2 linked regions of the Cricetulus griseus genome follow. The protein of the gene in region 2 interacts with the protein of the main gene of each other region in a pairwise test. Links are inferred from orthologs where the notes say so. Each region holds a gene or a part of one and is shown on either strand. Other genes may lie near its edges.

The links. The genes of interacting proteins can lie anywhere in the genome.
Region 1: the proteins of Kash5 (region 2) and Gpatch4 interact in binary tests that used the Homo sapiens proteins (3 or more experiments, as listed by UniProt). The two-hybrid records come from large-scale screens. The link is inferred for Cricetulus griseus from reciprocal best matches to the Homo sapiens genes KASH5 and GPATCH4.

What each region holds. Positions count from the first base shown.
Region 1 is NW_023276806.1:66,419,026-66,426,032, reverse strand, and holds part of Gpatch4 (G patch domain-containing protein 4), read left to right. Parts: intron 1-4,261; exon of another isoform or gene 4,262-4,368; 5' UTR 4,369-4,424; coding exon 4,425-4,503; intron 4,504-4,890; coding exon 4,891-4,964; intron 4,965-5,061; coding exon 5,062-5,154; intron 5,155-5,231; coding exon 5,232-5,318; intron 5,319-6,879; exon of another isoform or gene 6,880-7,007.
Region 2 is NC_048599.1:154,077,178-154,084,184, forward strand, and holds the end of Kash5 (protein KASH5), read right to left. Parts: intron 6,103-7,007; coding exon 6,025-6,102; intron 5,740-6,024; coding exon 5,683-5,739; intron 5,447-5,682; coding exon 5,387-5,446; intron 5,013-5,386; coding exon 4,948-5,012; intron 4,820-4,947; coding exon 4,732-4,819; intron 4,352-4,731; coding exon 4,253-4,351; intron 3,183-4,252; coding exon 3,127-3,182; intron 1,768-3,126; coding exon 1,716-1,767; intron 750-1,715; coding exon 685-749; intron 605-684; coding exon 488-604; intron 386-487; coding exon 247-385; 3' UTR 232-246; downstream 1-231. UniProt on the Homo sapiens protein: As a component of the LINC (LInker of Nucleoskeleton and Cytoskeleton) complex, involved in the connection between the nuclear lamina and the cytoskeleton.

The sequences.
Region 1 (7,007 bases), on a different chromosome or scaffold from region 2:
ACTACACAGTCTATGCAATCAAAAGAGAGAGAGGGAAAGTGACATGGGAGGATTTCTGAGTAAAGAGTTTGACCTCCTGGGCCTCTGGGAAGGTCTCAACCCAAAGGGGCCTATGTCATATTTTGAGAACTGAATTCACTTGTTTACCTATCTATTTATTTATTTGAGATAGGGTCTCACTATGTCCCCTTTTCTGGCCTGGAACTCAGTATGTAGACGGACTGGCCTCCCTCACTCAGATCTGCAGGTCTCTGTTTATTTTGCATCACCATTCAGGGCTGCCGGGACTGTTCTATTACATTTCAAATTTTATTTTTAAGTATACAAGTGTTTTGCCTGCTTGCATGAATGTATATCTGATACATGCCTAATGGCAATAAGAGGGTGTGGGGGGTTGTAAGCTGCATTGTGCTTGCTGGGAACCAAACCCGTTCTCTTCAAGAGCAGCAAGTGCCTAACCATTGAACCATCTCTCCAGACCCCAAAACTGTCGTTTTATACATCATCTCAATAACTTCTGGAATAGCCTTTAGTCATTATTCTGTGCATTAGCTTCATTGCTATGTATAGAACTGCCACAGATTTAGTGACTTAATTCAATAAATAAATAATAACCCTAAAAATAACTTATGTGTATGGGTGTTTTACCTGTTTGTATGTCTGTGTGTCTGCCTGGTTCCCTGAGGAGACCAGACGAGAGTGTCAACCTTTGGAACTGAAGGTTGTGAACCACCATGTGGTTGCTAGGAATCAAACCCAGGTCCTCTGGAAGAGCAGTCAGTTCTCTTAACCACTGAGCCATCTCTCCAGACTCTGGGGCTTTTTGTTGGTTTGGTTTTTTTTCAAATGTGTGGGGGGGGGGCATGCACATTTGTGTGTATGGGTGTGCATGCATATGGAGACCAGAGGTCAACCTTAGGTCTGATTTCTCAGGAATCAACCACCTGTTTTTTCAGGCAGTCTCCATAAAGCCCTGGAGATCTTCCTGTCTCTGTCTCTGTCTCCCAGCACTGGAATTACAAGTACACATCATTGTGCCTGGCTTTTTACGTGGTACTGTTGCTTTTAAAGTCCTGTCTTAAACTCCTGGCCACCTTTTATCTCCTGATATCTTACATTTTGGAGGAGTTATGTTGCCTTGGTGTCTGGTGTTCTTGAGACTTATGCCTCAGGAATTGAGCCATTGGTGGAATTTATTTAGTGGGCTGGAGAAATGGCCAGGGGTTAAGAGTACTTACTGCTCTTCCAAAGGATCTGAGTTAGTTCCCAGCACCCACATGGTGGCTTCCAACCATTTATAATACTAGTTCCAGAGCATCTAATGCCCTCTTCTGGTTTCTAAGGGCATTGTATGCACATGGTACACATATATGCAGGCAAAACACTCATACAACTAAAGTTCAAAAAGAGAATTGTTATTAAAAACATCTTTATTCTGTCAGAAGTGTTTACAATGTCCAAGAGGGCCTAGGCTGTTCTAGTGTTAAGGTATTGTTTTCCTCTGCTAGATCAGGACATCCAGCTTTATCCCATTGCTCCCCTGGAATTAGAATATTGTCTGCACAAACAGTATCAAAGAGTAAGCCTACTATGAAGTACAGTAATAGCCAAGTAAGCATCAGTCATTTTAGGAAGTAATGGAACATTGTGCATAGGGGGAAAAACTTAGGGTGAAACATGTGATTTAGTTCTGGGTTGGCAGAGAAAAAGTAGGGAGGAAATATACAAAGAAGAAATGGTAGGGCAGGGGTTAGGCCCTCCCGTTGAGGTAAACTGAAAAGAGAAAGGTTAAGAAACACAATCATTGCCAAGCGTTGGTGGCACATGCCTTTAATCCCAGCACTCAGGAGGCAGAGGCAGTCGGATCTCTGTGAGTTTGAGACCAGCCTGGTCTACAGAGCAAGTTCCAGGACAGCCTTCAAAGTCACAGAGAAACCCTGTCTCAAAAAATCAAAAAACAAACAAACAAAAAAAGCACAATCATATAACCAAGAACAGTCCCAGCTTTCAGGAGAAGGCCCTGTAGACCTGGCCAGTGTGTGTTCTTTGGGAGAGAGGAGGAGAACAGGACAGAGCAGGCTAAATTAACACCAGGTGTTAGAGAGCAGTGTGTTGTGGGGAAGGGGTGTAAAGAAAAGTATGAAAACAATCTGGCCTTTGGTTGGCTTGCTGATTCAGTGTTGAGTTTGAGTCTCTCTGAGATCCTTCCCAGGTTCCCAGAAGTCAGTCTTTGGGAGCTAGTGTTACAATCATGGTCTGAGCAGCGTCTCACAGGTGGAGTCTCAGGTGCAAGTGCTGGGCCTGCCCTGTGTGATCCCTGCATCATCAGCACACTGCTTGACATGTGTGTTTAAGTTCCCCTGCAGACTCTGGTCCCACCAAGTTTCCACACCAATGACTAATGATTCAAAGACCTTTCCCCGAAGTCTAGAAGCTTCTGAGTCACTTGCTGTGATGCTGTGTGTTTCCCAAGAGTGCAGTCCATAAAAGGGGGCCCTTTTGAAATGGTGTTTACAGCTAGCTGTTCTAGCAGTGCCAGTGAAAGCCTGGCATCTCAGCACCTGCTGAAGTGTTCTTGTGTGAATCTGTCTCACTCTGCTCTTTGAAGTGTCTATTATGGAATTACTGTGGTACAGTGCAGGTCCAAGTCTCTCTCTTAAGCCCTGTCTCCTACAATCTGATGCTGACACTCCTACTAACTAATAGAGAGCTCCCAGATCAGACTCTGGATTTCTGTCTCCTGCTTTATAAAGTTCTCGATTTGCTATTACAGCTAGAAACAGTCAGGTGTCCCCTGAATCTTACATTTATTAAATACCTTTCTCCAGGTTATTCCTTGGGAGACTTGGACAGCCCATGCCTGGATGTCACCTTCTGTTGGACAGAAATTCTGCTCATCGTTCTTAAACTTAATATATAATGTTTAAGAACATTTGCTGAAGTTCTTTGGATACTCTAAAGGGTATTTAATAGACTAAATCTAATGAAAGTTTTGCCATTTAAACTGTCTCTTTGAGAAGCTCCAGATTTACTCTAGTCATCCCCTTAGTCAGCTTTGACAGTGTTCTGCAGCAGGATGGTGGCACACAGCATTGATCCTAGCACTTGGTAGGCAAGCCTGATCTACACAGAGTTTCAGGCTAATGAGAGATCCATAGTCTCAAAACAAAGACAAAAAGTAATTGTCTCCTATGCCCATAACAAATGATCTTAGCACAAACTGATACTGGTAGTCTGCTTTCAGGGTGAGGTGTCATCTTAACCATTTTGGAGGAAACTTTAATACACAAGTTGGGTTCAACAGGAAGTATGTGTGAGTTACTGTAAAGAAAATGCAGTTACTTAGAATCATGCAATTTGGGCTGAACAGGTCTTCAAACTGCCTGAATAGGTCTTCAGTCAAGAAACCCAGGTCCTTTTTTCCTCACTTACAGGATGAGGTTAATCCCTATCAGACAGGATTATCTATGAAGTATAATGAGGTGATTTGACATAATAAATGAGGTGATAGCATGTGACACCCATCTTTGTTTATTTAGTGTTCAGTTAGCATCCCCTTCCTGAGCTGGACAGTTTAAAGGGAAGCTTCTGAAACCTGAACTACACCAGTAATGTGGACGGAATGTTGGTTCCCATACTAAGACAGTACAAATGCTGGAGCACAGGTATAGATGGTAGGCTCTCTTAAGTACCAGTCTGTAGCTCAAGGTAGCAAACACCTCATAGCTTTGTTTTTACAGGGTAATATATTTGGGGAGATCTTACAGACTCTGCAGACAGACTTTCTGGTTTAAATTCCGTGTGTGTGTGTGTGTGTGTGTGTGTGTGTGTGTGTGTGTGTGTGTCTGTGTGTCTGTGTGTGTGTCTGTGTCTGTCTGTCTGTGTCTATCTGTGTGTGTGAGTGTGCAAGGGTATGGAGGGCTGAAGACAGCCCATGGAAGCCAGTTCTCTCCTTCCACTGAGTAAGTCTGTAGATTCAAACTCAGGTCATGGGTTTGGCTGGAAGCATCTTTACCCACTGATCCATCTCTCTGTGGTAGCTTCCTATAGTTTAGGAGTCAAGGCCAGTGAATGGTGCTGGGGAATTGAACCCAGGGCCTCATGCAGGCTAGGCAAGCATTGTACCTACTGAAATAGCCATAGGCACATAGTACCACCCTTTTCTTTTTCACTCACTTAGGGTCTCATAGCATAGGTTGCTGGCTCAGCCTTTCTATATAGTTGTGGATGGTATGAACTTCTGATCCTCTTGCCTCCACAGATGTGTGCTACAGGATGCTGGAGCTTGAAACCTGGGGCTGTAGGTGTATTACCCAGGTGTTCCGCTGTCTAAGCTGCATCTCCAGTCATTTCTTTTCCTATTCAAAGGATGGTGCCACATCTTCACCCCTGGTGAAAACCTGAGGACAGAGCCTCTGCCCACCATGAGTGTCACCCCAGAGGTCAAGAGTCGTGGGATGAAGTTTGCTGAAGAGCAGCTGCTAAAGCATGGATGGACTCAAGGTGTTCTAGGGCCCTTCCATATCCTCCCAACTCCCTCGTTTCCTTTGCCCCATGTCAATTCAACCATAGGAGAAACTAGTTTAAAGAGAAAACCTTAGAAGCATAAATTTCCTGATCTAGCTGGAAAAGGGGAGAATGGATGAAATTCTCATTCTTGGACAATGGAGGATATTGAGGGCAGACTGAAGGAGGAAATACAACAAAAAAAGATCATTCCAGGTCAGACGGAGGCACTTGTGAAGCAGTACGAGAAAGGATGGAGTGACATAGATTTCTGAAGGGTACACAGTATACCAGTGATCAGTGAGAGGAGTGGCAGTTGGCCCAGGAAGTCATGGTGAGGGCTCAGGGCAGGTTACAAAATAAGTCATTCACTGTCCTCTACAGGCAAGGGTCTGGGCCGCAAAGAGAATGGCATCACCCAGGCCCTCAAGGTCACACTGAAGCAAGATACCCATGGGGTAAGCCTGGGGGGGTGGGTCAGCATGAATGTGAAAGGGCACCCATGAGGGCTGGTGGGCGGTGCTCAGACTGTGACTTTCATTTATTATTCTGGAGGTGGGACACGACCCTGCCAAGGAGTTTACAGACCACTGGTGGAGTGATCTCTTCAACAAGACTGCAGCCAGCTTGGTAGTGGACACAGGGAAGGTATGAGCTTGTCAGGTACGTCTGGGATGGGGCAGGGAGGTAGAGCATGTCGCTTCCTCACTGATGCCTTCCAACAGGATGGAGTGCAGATAAGGCGCCTTTCCAAGGAGACCACCCAGCGCAGTCACCCCAAGTCCAATTTGCTGTATCAGAAGTTTGTGAAGGTACCAGAGTGAGAGGTTCAGCTCTTTACTGCTCCCCTATTTCCCCTGGGTCCTGATCGATTGCCTTGTGTGATGAACTAGTTCCCAGGATATCCTAGCATACCCAGATCCCATGTCCAACCTCGCTGTGCTTAGACTAAGGCCCATGCCCCCCTCCAGAATTGAGGTATTAAGGTTCCATGGACCCTGCCATCCGCTGCGGGGCAGCACTGAACAGTAGAGGGAGAGCCATCATTTAGTTAAGAGCTGCTGGGGTGGAAGTGTTGGTGTCTAATTTAAAAAGATTTAGAAGACAGAAGAACCCTGAAGGTTGGTTACTTAATCCATCTTTATTTTACATGTGTGCCCCAAAGTGTAGAAAATGGATTACTGAAGAACCCACAGCTGGCTAGTAAAGACAGAAAGAATAGAACCCAGGCTTCCCAGCTTTTTCACTATAGCTATAGAAAGCCAGAAGTTAGCGAGCATAGACTCTGCTCGGCGCTTCCCAAGTTATCTAGCAACCCTTCCCAGTTTCTGCATCTGTTGGCATTTACTATTTTAGTTCAGGCAGTCTTTGCCTCTAAGATACTCTGCCTCTGGTCTCATTCTGCACCATAGTCAGCTGACTCTGTTCTACAAAACATCCATAGGGTTCTTTCCAAAACACAAATTGTATCATGATCCTTTTTGTTTGTTATTGTTTTTCAAGACAGATTCTCCCTGGTTGCCCTGGAACTCACTCTGTAGACCAAGCTGGCCTCAAACTCAGAGATCCGCCTGCCTCTGCCTCTGGAGTGCTGGGTTTAAAAGTGTGCAATACCACTGTCTGGCTCCTCCCTATTTAATGAGATTGACTTGCATGGCCCTTTATGCTTCTTGTCTTACTCCCACCTGTTCTCTCTGGGGCAGAAGCAGCTCTGTTTCTTCTTCTAGAAGCTGTGTTCTCCCACCTACCCTTTCTCTGCCTTTGCCATTTACCTGCTAACATTTCTTGACTTTCAGATTGAGATTATACATAGCACCTTCTAGAAACCACTGCCCAAACCCTGGCCTGAGTTATCTATGGGACAGGCAACGTTCATCCTAACTGCCCATGTAATTACATCTGGACTGGAAACTTGACCCATCGAATTCTGTGTGTGTGTGTGTGTGTACGTGTACGTGTACACGTGTGCACGCGCATGTATACGTGTTCACATATATGAGCACTTTTGTGTGCAGGTGCTCATACATGTGTATGCATATAGAGGCCAGAGGTTGACATTAGGTATCTTTTTTTGATCTCTACCTTATATACTGAACTAAGATCTCTTACTTGAATCCGCTTGCCAATCTGTATAGTTTAGCACCTAGCTAGCTTGCTCCAGGGACCCCAGGGATTACAGGTGGGTAGCCATGCCTGCCTGACATTTATGTGGGTGCTGGGGATCTGCACTAGGTCCTCATGCTTGCACATTAAGTGTTGTTACCAGGTGAGCTGTCTCCGCACCTGGACCCATTTCATTGCCATTCTACTCTATCCTGAGCTACATGGCCCATAATAGGTTCTGTTAATCTAGTTAAACAAAAATACCAGCAATAGGAGTGCTGTCTCTATTGTCAGTTACTGGCACCTACTCCACTGTGAAAACCTAAAAGTGAAGAACACTTTTCCCTGGTTGTTCTTCAGTCAGCCTGCTGTGAGCCAGAGAAGCCCTGGCTGCTGCA
Region 2 (7,007 bases):
CAGGGACCTTGGGTCCCACTGTGACTCAGTTGAGGCCCAGTTGCCCTCCTCCCTCCAGCTCATTTGATGAGGAAATCACTCTGTGCTGAAGTCATTGCTGCATGATTTGCTATTGTTAAGAAAACAGGAGAAAGCCAGGAGAGGTCATGGTTACATAAAAACAACACAGGGACTGGGCCCAGGGTCCTGACTGAGTCAGTGAGGGGGGCACAGTGGTGGTGTGGTATGGGGTCTGCTGGGAGGGGCTCACACTGGCGGGGGCTGTAGGTAGTAGAGCTGCACGTGTGGCCAGGTGGGTGTCGGGGACTGGCTGAGCAGCACGATGGACAGCAGCAGCAGCAGCAGGCCCAAGATGGGTTTGGGGACCAGAAGGTGCTGGCTGACTCTGGAGGGGGAGGCAGGAGAGGCTGAAGGTGGCCCCAGGAAGATTGGTCTCCCCAACAGGTGGCACCCCCCAATCACCCCAGGAGACACCTGAGGGGCACACCTGAGCCCTGGGGAGTGCTGGGGGCACAGGCAGTGCTGGGCCCAGGGCCTCTCCACTGGCACCACATCTCTCACCACAGGCATGAGAGCTTGTTGCACCTCTGGCACATCTTGACAACTGGAAGGCAGATGGGAAGGGCATTATTGCTAGGCCTGGTATGTCCTAAGTCCCTTTCCAGTTCCCATGTGTCCCTTTACCTCTCAGGAGAGCTTCTTGGGGCAAGCTCATGGTGAGGGGTTCCCAGAGGGGTGGAGGGGTCAACCTAGCAGGAAAAAGGACAGAACATATCCATTTACTCAATCTGCACAGAGTTTCTGGTCAGTACCCTGGATGCAGACTACACAGATGAGGCCACATGTCCCTGGTCAGAGATGACAACAGCCCTCCCTTTCACAGGGCTGACTGAATGGGGAAAGGAGGCAGAGCTTGAACAGAGCCCACATGAGAGTCAATAGGGTGAGAGCTTTTGAGCACTGCCCCCTCCCGCTCCCAACTGACTCTGTAGGTTTCTAGCAATGGTTTATAGGTGCCATCGGTCCCTATGCTGGGCACATAGGTTGTGGCTGAGCTGTCTCCCAGTGCCAGTCAGGGCTTCACATGTCCACATCTGCCCCAAATACAATGACCATGGTGATGACAAACCAACTAGCATATCACTCCCAACTGCTAGGTCCTGCACCCATATTGGCTGGCCCAGAATTGAGAGCAGAAAGAAAGAGCTGGACTTCCTCACTGAAGGTGTCTAAGTGTGGCAAGGCAGGTGAGGGCTCCAGAGCCTGCCCTATACTCCTCAGCAGACTCTGGACTCATCTCCCATCAAGTTCCTTTAACTTCCCTTGAGACCTCAAGCTTGTCTCACCACAGACAAGGGTGGAAGAGTCCAGGCCCAAGCAGTTTGGTCACTCACTGAGGCCACCAGTTCTTTGGTGAGTGGGAGTGTGGGAGTTAGTGATGCACTTGGGAGTGTAGCCACCTCTGAAGCTCCAGGCTCAGGATGTGAAGACTGCAGCCTGCATGTATAAGGCTGGGGTCCTGGGGAACATCCTGGCTGCCAACTGCCTCCAGCCCCCCCCCACTCCTACCCCCACTTCTCATTAGCTGCACCAAGGGCCTTGTTATCTCCTGACCAAATGATTTTTCTGTCTGTTCCCAAGGAGTTCAAGCTTCGGGAAGGGGCTGGGATTAGTCCCTCAGCTTCTAGGGCTAGGAAGGGTGCTAGGGTGCCTACCAGGACCCAGCTCGCCTCCTCTTCTTCCTCTTCTTCCTGTCTTCTGGACAACCTAGAGCAAACACCATCACTGACTCCCCACCTCCCTAGTTCTCTCTCCCACTGGAAGATACAGTGGAGCTCAGGGTCTGCTGGCATCTCCTATGCATGCTTCCCAGAAACTGAGCAAAATCAACTCTTGGGAGCCTGTGACCCCAAAAGGCTCAGAAGCCTTGACCTAGGCTTCCTAGCTGTGCCTCAGGCAGAAACAAGGCTCCCTGCTTCCACATACCACAGACTCCAGGGTATGTAGACTCTGGCACCACTGTTGGGGGTATGATGCCATTCTTTAGCCTTAGTCATTCAGGTTTGTTAGAGACTGGGAATACAACTCCCCTCTCTCAGCCCCCAAACCTCACTATTTGGGCTTTCCTGTGTCCAAATCACCTCTCTAGGTATGCTAGCCCATGTTTCCCCAAGCCTATGCTTCAAAGACACAGTTTTGGAGGCCCTGGTATCCATGACAACAGCCTATGCCTGAGGATCAGGGATCTAGCCTTGCAGCTGCCATCAAGCCAGCAGTCTCAAACACAGCTGCTCCCAGCCCAGTCCCACTATACACGGCTGTGTGAACCCCTTACAATTCCCCTGGGTTGTAAGCTGTTGAGTCCCCATCCCCTTGAGGTGGGGCCCCAGTGTTTGTCATCCCCCAAGTCCTCTGCTTCCTAGAGGAAAGTGGGCTGGGTGTCCCACCCTTCCTCCTTCCATCCTGCTGACGTAGGAGGAGGTCACACTGCTCAGAGCACCCAGGCAGTCCAATCTCAGCTCTGCCCAGGCAAGTCCAATTAGAGGTTGTGTAGGGGCCTCATTAGCTGTGACAGCAGTAGTCTGGAGAAGGGGGGCACCACAGGAAGCAGAGGGCGCTGTGACCAGACATCCAGCGCTTTCCATCCTTACTCAAAGCCTGAGTAAGGCCTCAAAACACACCCCCATCAGTCACAGAGCTGGACTCCGGGATCCATGGAGGATCATACCAGCCCCTCATGGAATGGGTACTCAAGACTGGTTTTAGAGCCTGCAGGGTCTTCCATGCCTGGGAGCTCTCAAGGCCCCTATCAGCCTTGTTCCTGAATCTCTGGCTCCCTGTAGGGTAAAAATTGCAAACCCGTACTATCCAGCCTGGTGCTTGGGGTGTCCCCCAAAAGCCCCTAAAAGTCTCCCTGGGTCCAGGTGCCCACCTCTTGTTGGAGTTGCCAGGGTAAGGATATGCTGAGAGCAGGGTCAGGCCCAGAGCTCTGAGCAGCCACAGATTGAAGAATGGAGGAGATGTATGCTGACTCTTTCAGGGTGCCATAGCCCTTATTCTCTAACAGCCAGAGCCCATATCACTTGTGGCTGAGAGAGGGAGGGCTCCATCAACCTACTCCCTTACCTTAGAGATGCTGTTCTTCCTTCTAGAGCATACACTGGCTCTCTCTGGAAGTTTCTCTGCAGAACATCAAAGTTTGGTCTCCTTGACTCTCTCTGAGCTTCTGACCCAGCTCCAGCCAGGCACATTCTGCCTGAGGTCCAGACTGAAGTGGATGGCCACAGGGATACAAGCTTCTGTGCTTTCCGTGGGGCTCCCTCAGCACCCAGGGAAAGCCACATATGCCATGGGTTCTGGTGAGTCTACCTAGCTCCTTTTGAGGACTAGAGATCAATACTTACAGGGTGCCCCCATCTACCAGCCTGTGCCAGGAGGGAGCTCACTACTTTCTCTCCACTTCCTTCTGGGGGTCTCAGGATGTTCCCTGCTCCTCTAAGAGGCCCAGAGCCAGAGATGTGTTCTTTGTGCCTGTGACCTCAGTTACCAACTCCACTAACCTGACACTTGTTATTTTGTTTTGCTCACTGCCTCATGTTGCTTGAGCTGGTATGAGCTCACTAAGTAGCAAAGCATGGCCTTGAACTCCTCCTGCTTCTAATTCCTAGGAGCTGAGACATAGCTGTGTGGCCACCTTGTCCCAAATCAATCTCTCTCTTCCCTCCCTCCTTCCCTCCCTCTCTCTCTCTCTTTTGGGTCTAATTCTATAGCTCAGGCTGGTCTCAAATTCATGGTAAGCCTCCTGTCTTCAGCCTTCCCAGTTCTAGAACTGCAGTGTGAGATCCATCCCAACAGTTTTTAGTAATTGGTGACCTCCAGGTCTGTGCACTTGGCTGCTCTTGTAGCCCTAGATGTTCTCTAAGATGTCTGCCTCCCAAGCGTTATCACTAAGGACATGTGCCACCACTGCCTAGCAGCTTCTCTCAAAGATACTCAATGTATTCCCCAATGTGCACAATTGTAAATAAGGGATCATGACAGGATTTCTCCAGGGCAGCTTGAGTTTGCCCATCCCTTGAGGGCAGGGGTGTGCCCTGTTGGCTGGGGCTGCACCCTTAGCAGGCAGCAGGCTCTCTGATAAGCTCAGGGAGTAGACAACACAGCAATAGGGCTGAGGGGGGTCAATGGGACCCTGAGATCCTTGTGGGGGCCTCTGGACGTACTTCTGTGATTCAGAGACCCCTCTCCTCACCTGTTCCCTAGCAGGATCCTCAGAGGGAAACTCAGCCTCCTCCCACTGCCACACTCCACACAGAGGACTGGAGAGGCCAACACCTGATGCATCCCTCTCCTGGAAACAGAGGCTGCATGTGAACTTGGGAGGCCCAGGGCAAGGTTGGGCCTGAGGCAGGGTAGAGGTGGAAGAGCTGGAGCAAACTGACAGGTGGGATGGTATGGGACAGGAAGGAGGACACTGGTAAAGACACCACAGATTGGTAGGGGATGTTAGGGGACATGGCCACAGGGGGGCTTTTCGGGGCTGGGGTTGAGGCAGAGCAAGCAGGCTGGAGGGGGGCAGATGACTAGGAGGTGATGCTCTGGCAGCAGTGTGTGAGAGCTGGAGTCACCAAGTGCCAAGTACCCAGGCCTCTGGGACTGAGGGTCTGCATAGGGACACATGGAGTTTCTGTCTTGGTGTCCTCCGGAACATTCCATGGAAGCAGAGCCTACCTGCCGGATAGCCTGGATCTCCAAGTCCAGAGATGGGGGCAGTGCCATGATCCAGCCTACTCTTCCTGCCTCAGCCCCTTGCAGTAGCCTGGTCACAGAGGGGAGGCCTATCTTTTGAACCGCATTCTGCAGCCTTCATCCTGTGGCCCGGCCCTCCCCTGCCTCTTTCTTGATCCTCCCCTTCCCTGTCCCCCTCCTGACTATCCAGCCACTCACTCTTCTGGGCCCTCCTGGCTCAGACTCAACTGCTCCTCTAGGTTCGAGATTTCTTGCCTTAGTTCCTGCAAGAAGGCAGAGCATGGGCCCTGGTGGAGCCCCACATACTTTGGACTCCTCTTCCCAGACACAAACTGCCAAGGGGCCAGGATGAAGAAGCAGCGGCAGAAACTCACAAAGACTAAGACAGCACAGAGACCCAGAGCACAAGGCACAGCCAGGGACATGGCAAAAGCAGAGTCAACTCTTCTAAGGTGGCAGACTCTGCTGAGGCAGGGGACAGGAGCCCCCAGAGAGGTGAGTACTGTGGGATACAAAGTGAGGTAGGAAGGGGTGGAGAGTGAAAAGAGAGAGCAGCAGTGGTCTACTGGGGAGGGGAGCAGCAGATGAGACCCCACAAAGGAAGATGGGCATTAGAGGTGCCATGGGCACTCATTACCTGGGTAGTGGTTCTGTACTCCTCTAGACTCTGGGCCAGACTTTCTGCATGGCGGGTACGCTGGGGAACACAGAGCTGGGGTTCAGTCCCCTAAGACAGGAGGCTGCTAAATTGGGAGCTGGCTGAGTTGGGAAAGCTTGGAGAAGAGTTGCTTCCAGACCCTGCAGGCCACACTGACCTGAGAAGGCCTATCTGGGCTGTTTGTCCAGGGCTCAGAGCTGGGTGGGCTCCTGCCACACAAGGCAGGGGCTAGGAAGGCATGCTAAGGGTAGGTCTGTCCCCTCCCTGTCCCTCACCTCTGAGAGGACTGCTTCACGCTGGCAAATGAGTTGTTCGCACTCACAGAGCTGCCGCTGCCGAGGAAGGAGCCTATTTATCTCTTCACCCAGCCTCCCAGCAGCCCCCACATCTCCCTTCAGCCTCCTACTGCCCCTACCAGGTCCTGGCCAGGCCTCCCCTCAGCCTCCAGTGACAGCTATGGCTATCAGCTGCTCTGAAGGGGACTCTAGCTGAGCTGCCTGGGCAGCCCTAAGCCATGTGGACTCTGGCGCAGGACCCTGGTTTCAGCAGCTGCAGTGCTGACTTGGGTGCAGGAGGTGAACGGTTGGTCCTCAGGCCTGGACAAATAAATGCTGCACCTTCAAAGCATCTTTCTCTGTGGCCAGCTCCTCACTCCGCCTCTTCACTCCGTCTCGTTCTGCTAGCAGCTTCCCATTCTGGAGGGAGGATCAGCCTTGCTCACCAGTTGGCGGTGCTAATGCTGTATGCCCTGTATGCACCTCAGTCTTTTCTCCATTCTCCCACCACCCTGCTGGGCCCTCAGCTGGGATTTCTCCACAGCTGGTTTCCCCACTGATTCATGGAGTCCCTGTGAGATAAATAACCCAGTAACTTCCAAGCATTTTGCATGTGAGATTCCATTTCTTTCCCCATTTTTAAAGATACAGGCAACTCAGGCACAGAGGGATGGAGTAATATGATCTGGATCACAAAGCTCTTATTCTAACACAGGCCAGTGAATGTTAATGACCACAGATATTTAGAGCAGAGTCAACTGTAGCTGGCATGTACCAGATGTAAATGTTAAAGATAAATGTTTATAGATACTTAAACTCATGTTCCCTAACATACAAAACTAAAAGTAAGTATAATGAGCCCAGAACACACACACACACACACACACACACACACACACACACACACACACACAGACACACACACACAGACACACACACACACAGACACACACACACACACACACACACACACACACACACACACACACACACACACACACACTCACTCACTCAATATGTAGCTTGGGCTGGCTTTGAGCCTGTGGTCCTCCTGCTTCAGCAGGTATGGGCCATTACACTTAATCCTCATGCCCAGTTGCAATAAATATATTCTGGTTTCTTCTTTTGCCTTCCTGTCTAATTCAGTCATTTTAAATCAGATCTCCCATTTCCCCTGGAACAACACCAGTGTTACCTACTCATGACAACTTATTTCCTTTAGCAAAACCATAACTCAAAATTAGCAACAAAATAGCATGAGCATGGAGACTATGGCTGGCACACAGCAGACTTTACACAAGGCTGGATGCCCCCAGATGTGGACT